Canis lupus familiaris: one gene and its partner. The protein of the gene in region 1 binds, or shares a complex with, the protein of each later gene. Links are inferred from orthologs where the notes say so. Each region holds a gene or a part of one and is shown on either strand. Other genes may lie near its edges. The genes, in order: SIRT3 and ACSS1.

Region 1 (3,811 bases):
GACCTGCCGTTGATGGTTCTTCCTGTTGAGGGTTCTTCTGTTGGGTCTGTAGTTCACACTTCTTCGTGTGATTGATGTTTGAGCAGTAGGGCTCCTTCCGACCTCCTGAATCCACATTAGCAGGGTTTCCCTTTATTAATTTTCATAATGTCCAGCACCATTTGTTGAAGAGATGAGATTTGGTCCTTTGTCAAAGAAGAGTTGACTGTGTTTGTGTGAGGGTACTTCCAGCCTCTCTGTTCTGTTCCCCTGATCTATTCTTCTGCTCCCTACAATAGAGCCACAGTCCTGATTCCTGTGGCTTTTTATAATAAGTCTTGAAGTCAGATAGTGTCAGTCTTGTTCTTTGCCTCAATATTGTGTTGGCTATTCTGGTCTTTTGCTTTCCATATAAACTTTAGAATCAGTTTGTATCTGTTCTCTGCTTATTTTTAAATCTTTTCTCTTTGTCTTTGGAGTTTTAGAGTTTTACACTGTTACTGGGGTAACTCTCCATATGGATTTCCTTTTGTTTACTTATTCTGCTTAAAATTTATAGGGCTTTCTGAATCTGTGGTTTTCATCATTAGTGGAAAAATCCCTGGCTGTTGCCTCTCAGATGTCGATTGCATCTCCCACTCCCTCACCTCCCTTGTGGAGCTCTACTTAAACTCCCATGAGACCTCACGCTCCCACCCATGGCTCTTCTGTGTGTTCCATCTTGCTTCTCTGTGCTGTGTTCTGAATAATGTCTTTTGATCTATTTTCCAGTTTACCAACCTTCTATTCTGTTGTATAAAATAAGGTTCTTCCACTAAGTGCTAATTTTTGTTACTGTTTTTTGTTTGGAAAAGGTTTAATGAGATGTGAAACCTCAACCAGCTGTGGGCTCATTTCCAGATCTGAATTACTTGCCCCATTTTTTTCTTCCTAATTTTTATTTAAATTTAGTTAGTTAACATATATCACAGTATCAGTTTCAGGAGTACAACTTTGTGATTTATCACCTATATACAACACCCAGTGCTCATCACAATAATGCCTTCCTAATTTTTGTTACTTTTATTTCTAGAAGTTCTCTTTGGTTCTTTTTCAAATCCACTACATTATTTTTTATAGTTTTCTATCCCCAACAGATACTTCAAACCCTTTTTTTAAAAAAAAAGTTAAACACAAAATGGCCTTAATGTGTCTCTAATAGTATCTGAAGTCTCTGAGTAGTGTCTCCTTGGTCTGTTGTGTCTGCTGGTTCTGGCTGGGCTCAGCTTGCTAAGACAGGGCCAGGAAGGTTTGTCTTAGGAAGCTGTTGTCCTCGTTCTTAGGCTCCTTCCTTTGACACCCAGCCCAGCACATGAACACAGGCATCTTAGGGCAGAGCAGTGATTTGCGTCTACCTCACCTTGGCCTGCAAGCTAGTGGTCTGTGGCAACACTGCTTACAGCTCCTGCTTGAATGCCTTCCAGGTCTAGGGTGATGTCATGATCACTTCAATCAGGTACAAACTTTATACCAGCTTTCTCATTGAATCATGTTTAGTGTAGGCCAAATGCCTGCAGAGTACCTCCTGAGGACTGTGTCACATACTATTTCCTTAGCATCTGAATGTCTCTGATAAGCCCCTGAAGGGCACAGCCTGGCGTTACATGTGCTAGATATCATGGGCTCTTCAGGATGCACCTTCAAATACTCCAGTGTGTCCCCAGTTTCAGGGAGCCATTGAAACAAAATTGGCAAAATGTCAATAAATGCCAAATCTGGGTTCATTATTCAGCTGTTATGAATGTTTGAAAATTTCTTAGTAAAAGCAGTCTTTTTAAAAAGTTTTATTTAAATTAGGTAACGTACAGTGTTACATTAGTTTCAGGTGTACGATCTAGTGACTCACCTCCATACGTCGCCTGGTGCTCCTCACAGCAAGTGCACTCCCCACCCCGCCCCCTCCCGTCTGGCAGCCTGAGTATGTCGTGACATTGTCCTTGGCCTGTTGTCTATGTGTGTTGCACAGGCCGACGTGAGCATGGACAAGATCCCCCGCTGCCCAGTGTGCACTGGCGTTTTGAAGCCTGACATCGTGTTCTTTGGGGAGACACTGCCTCAGAGGTTCCTGCTGCATGTACTTGATTTCCCAATGGCAGATATGCTGCTCATCCTCGGGACCTCCCTGGAGGTTTGTCAGCAGGTCCAGTGGTGGACTGAGTGTGCAGGGGCAGGGGAGGCTATAAGGACAGGGCCGAGGAGGTGAGGCTGCTGGGGGTGGCACCAGCTGCTCTTGGAGCCTTCACATCTGGCGTCCTAGCTTCGGAAGATGAGTAGGTTCAACTGGTCGGGAAGCAGAGGTATTCCTGGCCAAGGGATTGGCAGTCTGGGCAGAATGGGGAAGAGGGAGGGTGCTCAGCTTTGGAGGCACCATCAGCATGGGTGGGGCACGGTGTGTAAGGGAAGGGAGGAAGGAGGGACCTGGAGAGTAGGGCAGGACAGACTTACCAGGCCACATCACAGAGGCTGGTTTTGTGCTAGAAGCGGTAGACTTGAAGTGGTTGAGCCAGGGGCTTAGCCAGTGCTCAAGGTCCCAGAACCTGCTGGGGAGTGGGGATTGAAGGAGATGCCTGGGAGGTGGGTTCTCATGAAGGTGAGGCTGTGGGCCCGGTCAGATCATCTGACCATGAGAGAGGGCAAAGAGAAGAACGGCTGGACTTGGGGACAGGAGATGGAGTGGTCTGGTTGTGTCTGTGGGCACTCAGGCCTTTTTTTGGTAACAAGGTATTTGGAGGGAGGGTTCCGAGCTCAGTTCTGTACAATTGTGTTTGAGGTACCTAGGACACACCTGTGGACACATTCTAGAAGCTGGTCTACCTCTAGATCTGAAGCTCAGGATGTGACAAGAGCAACAAACACGACCCTGTGATGAGCTCTGCCTGGTTGGGTGCTGGTGCCGAGGAGCAGAAGCGCCAGAAAGGCCTGTACTCTGTGGCCTGTGTGGTTGGCCACAGAGGCCTAGAGTTAGGTGCATTCATCCAGCAAATGCGCCCGCTGTGTGCCGGGCCCTGTTGTAGGGCCTTGGACAGACAATACGATGTTGCAAGCAAGTGACACAGTGTTAGGTGCTGACACATGGACAGGAAGGCTGGGAAGGGTTAGGAACTGATTGGGACATCAGCTTGGTTTCCATGACTGTCGGAAGGGGACCCCGGAGCTGAGGGCAGAAGGGGATGCACGTGTCAGCTGAGGGTGTCTGGCAGCAGGCACTGCGCAGTGGCCACAGCCACATGGAGTGAGCGAACAGAGGGCAACAGTGACAGGGTCTGACCTCCTGACCCCGCAGGTGTTGTGGCGGGGAGAGCTGCTGGAGACCCTGCAGGTGGTGGTCCGGGTGGCGATGGCGGGTGGCCAGGTAACGCCGCAGAGGGCAGTGTTCATACATCACATAGATCGAGGGCAAAGGAAGGAATCCCTCCACCCCCTCCAGCACTACGAGTGTTATGCGGTGTCCTCACAGCTTCTCTGCTGCACCTTGTGGTGACCTTTAACCAGAGGTGGGGCAGCACCATGCATAGAGACCAACTACCTTGTTAGCGCCCAGTGTCCCTGCTGGGACCCCCCAATCAGAGTGCTTGTCTCTAGCACCGAGTAATCTGCAGTATTGCTCCAACTTCATCTCATATGCTGTGTGGAAGAAATACTCAGCAATAAACTTGATTATTAATTGCCCCTCCAGATCCCACTGAGTTGTGACATAATAATTGTATATAAACCAAATGATGTTTTCTAAAATCTGAAATATTCTGAATTCTGGAACACACCTAGCCCCCAGAGTTTTAAGATAAGGGATGAT
Region 2 (3,811 bases), on another chromosome or scaffold:
CAGAGAATGATTCTGAGGGGCTTGGGGGATGGGTGCAAAGAATGGCCCCCACGGATGTCCAAACCCTAATCCCCCCAAATCTGGGACTGTGTTACCTTACACAGCAAAAGGGCTTGGTGAATGGGATGAGCCCTAAAATGGGGGAGATTATCCAGGTGAGCCCTGGATATCTAATTATGTAAGCCCTGGAAATCAAAGAACTTTGGCTGGATGCAGAGGACATGTGGCAGAATGAGAGATCAGAGCATGAGAAGGACTTGATCTGCCTTTACTGGCTTTGATGATAAAGGGGGTCACAAGCTAGGGGATGTAGGTGGCTCTAAAGGCTGAGAATGACCCTTGGCTAACAGCAAGGGAAATGAGGAAATGGGGACTTTAGTCCTAAAGTAATATGGAGCTGAGTTCTGCCAACCCTGAATAGCTCGGAAGCAGACTCTTCTCCAGAGCCTCCAGATAAGAGCTCTGCTCTCTCACATCTTGATTTTAAACATGAAACTCCAAGAAAAGAACCCTACCAAACTCACCTGGACTAGAGAACTGTGCACTAAAATATGGGGTTTTCGAGATCCTAAGTTTGTGGTAATTGGCTATGGGAGCAATAAATGAAGGCAGATGCTAATACCAGCTCAAAAACCAGGTTGGTAAAATCAGAGCTTCCCAGATAAAGTGTCATGCTGATCTGGCCTGATGCTGTGCACACACCCTGTACCCATCACCCAGCTTCAGGGAGAACCACAGAGTGAGACATGCTTCCAAGCACCTCCTAGGAACTAGGTATATACACAGAGGTTCCTGCCCTGGACAACTGCTTGGGTGGAAAGCCTCAGACAAATGAGTGCCAAAAGCTAGGCATGTGCCATGGGAAGCTGCAGAGGGCTATAGTCCACAGAATGCAGTTCTAACACGCAGGATGGGCTGGGGCCACTGCTTTCTCCTGGAGGGTCCTGAGCTTTCTTTGTCTGTCATCCCCTTGAGGCTGGGCTCTTTCTACCTGATGAATCATCTCCCTTCCTGCCCCATAGGGAGTTTACCTGGTCCAGTGTCAGCACCTGGGATATAGGCCACGATGGTCTCGGACAGGCTGCCCAGCTGATTTCGTTTCCCCAGGGTGACCGATGGCCAAGGCTGAGGAGCAGAGTGTACAGCTGAGGTCCCCTGGCATACAGAGCTCGATGACACTGCCCTGGGTGCTCCAAGCACTCTAGAGTACGCCTCTGACCCTTAGATGACCCAGCCAAGGGCTGAGAGAATTCTTAGGTGGCCTTTGAGGGCATGTCCTCTCTAGGTCCCTTGGGATGAAGAAAGAATATGTTGCTAGAGGGTACTTTTCCAACTGAAAAGCTGAAGGAGATGGGTGCCTCAGTCAGGGCTCCCACAGAAGCAGACCCTGAAATGAAAGGTCAGGGGTAGCCAGTTCATTTGGGAGGTAGTCCTGGGAACTGCTAGAGGGTGGTGGGGAGTGGGGCTGGGCAAGGGGAATCCACCAGACCAGCTTCCACAGATGGTTCCTGGAGCTCAGTTCTCCAGGGAACCCTGGGGGTGATGGAGACACATGTGTCAGGATAGGCTCCTGGGGTGGGGGGAGTGGGGTTATTTACATTCCAACCCTTGACTCATTGTGGAGGGCTGCTGGGGCTGGGCATTCCATTGGCACTTCTGCCTGTGACTTTGGAAGAAGTCCTTGGTGAAGAGTGATAAAAGCTCTGAGGCTGTGTGTGGAGCCCTGCCAGTCACTACTGTACCTGGGTGTTTGTTCCGGGCTCCTCCTTATGGGCCAGTTATAGAACAGTCCACTGCAGCCTTGATTCCTCTGGGTCATCCCAGGTTGGGGCACAATATGGAGGGTCATTCCTTTTTATTTTTATTTTTTTTAAGATTTAATTTATTCATCACACACACACACACACACACACACACACACACAGAGGCAGAGACACACACAGGGCAGAGACAGACCGAGGGAGAAGCAGGCTTCCTGCGGGGAGTCCGACGCAGGACTCGATCCCAGGACCCTGGGATCACCACCTGAACTGAAGGCAGACACTGAAGTGCTGAGCCACCCAGGCATCCCGTGGAGGGTCCTTCCTTTGCCTATGGTTCTGAAGCCCAGTTTGCCTCTGTACTCAGTTCCCTGCTCAGGTCCTCACCGTCAGTTAGCTGTGGGAGCTTGGGCCTCCCCAGCCTTGTCCTGGGCCTGGCGAAGCCTTGCCTGGTCATTGCAGAGCAGGTGTGGACCTGCAGGGCCTTCTGCTAAAGGCGAGGGTGGGGGCTTGTCACTCCTGGTACCCCCTGGGGGTGTGGCCTCTGTTTTCTGGACACTGAAGCTTCTTGACCCTGCACAGGGCTGGGGCACATGGGACATGTTGGGGCTTGGTCTCAGCATCTTGGTGATGCTCTGCCACCACGGTGGCTGTGGCCAAGGACGGTGTGATGGCCTCTCCTCTGGGAAAGTGCCCAGGGCAGATGTCAGCATACCTTTTTGTCTCCATTAGCCAAGTGCAAGGTGGTCATCACCTTCAACCAAGGACTCCGGGGAGGGCGCGTGGTGGAGCTGAAGAAGATCGTGGATGAAGCCGTGAAGCACTGCCCGACCGTCCAGCATGTCCTGGTGGCTCACAGGACGGACAACAAGGTCCACATGGGGCATCTGGACATCCCTCTCGAGCAGGTGGGTTTGCCTCACTTTGTACAGTTGGAGGAGGAGAGGTAATTATTGGGTTAACTGGGTCTGAGTTTTGTCAGACTGTGGTCCTCAACCTGGGTCCCCTAGAGGCGCTCAGGGTTCCCTAGTGGTAACTGATGGACTTACATCGTGGTTGGGAAGGTGGAACTCAAATACCACAAACATACTGAGACACTTAATATAACAGAAATGATCAGATCCTTCCTTTTATTTTGTGCTCTCTCTGCATCTGGAGTTGAACTAGGGTAGGGTAGAGAAGGTGAACTAAACCCAGTCTGCCAGGTCCTGTAGCGGCCAGGTAAGAGGGGTTCTCAGAAAGGGTAAATGGGGGCAGAGGGTAACTGCCTTGGATGGGGCCGTTTATGTCTTCCCCCTTACAGGAGATGGCCAAGGAGGATCCTGTGTGTGCCCCAGAGAGCATGGGCAGTGAGGACATGCTTTTCTTGCTGTACACTTCAGGGAGCACTGGGACGCCCAAGGGACTCGTCCACACCCAGGCGGGCTACCTGCTGTATGCTGCCCTAACACACAAGGTATGCTCCTTGGTGTGTTGGGGTGACAGGTGCTGTGCCTCTGTGCAGGGCTCTGAGTAGGGAGCCAGAGGCTGGATGAGGCTAGAACTCCTATTATGACCTGGTGCCCGTCTGTGTGAGGGGCTAATGCATCTCCTAATGCTGTGAGTTGTGGCACTGACACAGTGAGTAAGTTGGTGTGGGGACTGAGTTTCTGTGCTCATCTAGGTTTCTGGTCTGTAGCTCACTGCTGGCCTTTAGCCCCTCGGCACTGGTATCTCCTCTGAAGGACTTGAGCCCTTCCCCAGGTTGGATGCACAACCTGGTACAGCTGCATTGTGACACTCCAGGGCCCAGGAGCTTAGGCCTTCCTGGCCCCCTTCCTCCGTGAAAAATGTTACGATTATAATTTACAACTCAATTGTGTAGAGATGGATAGGTTGCTTTTACATGTTAAAATGCTTACTGCTACTTAAAAGATCTTTTTTTCCTCTCTTGGTATTAAAAAAAAAGAAAGTAAAACAGTTTGGTACACCCCCACAGGTAATGTGGGGTTTGTTCATTAGGGCCACATTTTAAAAGTAAAATTAGAAAAATATTTATTTTTCTAAGGAAA

Evidence for each region.
Region 2: the proteins of SIRT3 (region 1) and ACSS1 are in contact, whole or in part, in a crystal structure (PDB 3GLT), measured with the Homo sapiens proteins. The link is inferred for Canis lupus familiaris from reciprocal best matches to the Homo sapiens genes SIRT3 and ACSS1. Residues at the interface, in NP_036371.1 of Homo sapiens: Gly145, Ala146, Gly147, Thr150, Pro151, Asp156, Phe157, Arg158, Ser159, Glu177, Phe180, Gln228, Asn229, Ile230, His248, Ile291, Val292, Phe293, Phe294, Gly295, Glu296, Pro297, Leu298, Gly319, Thr320, Ser321, Leu322, Glu323, Val324, Glu325; in NP_115890.2 of Homo sapiens: Ser640, Gly641, Lys642, Val643, Met644, Arg645.

What each region holds. Positions count from the first base shown.
Region 1 is NC_049239.1:25,724,809-25,728,619, reverse strand, and holds part of SIRT3 (NAD-dependent protein deacetylase sirtuin-3, mitochondrial), read left to right. Parts: intron 1-1,984; coding exon 1,985-2,146; intron 2,147-2,796; coding exon of another isoform or gene 2,797-2,820; exon of another isoform or gene 2,821-3,811.
Region 2 is NC_049244.1:1,388,009-1,391,819, reverse strand, and holds part of ACSS1 (acetyl-coenzyme A synthetase 2-like, mitochondrial), read left to right. Parts: intron 1-2,492; coding exon 2,493-2,668; intron 2,669-3,063; coding exon 3,064-3,216; intron 3,217-3,811. UniProt on the Homo sapiens protein: Catalyzes the synthesis of acetyl-CoA from short-chain fatty acids. Acetate is the preferred substrate. Can also utilize propionate with a much lower affinity. Provides acetyl-CoA that is utilized mainly for oxidation under ketogenic conditions.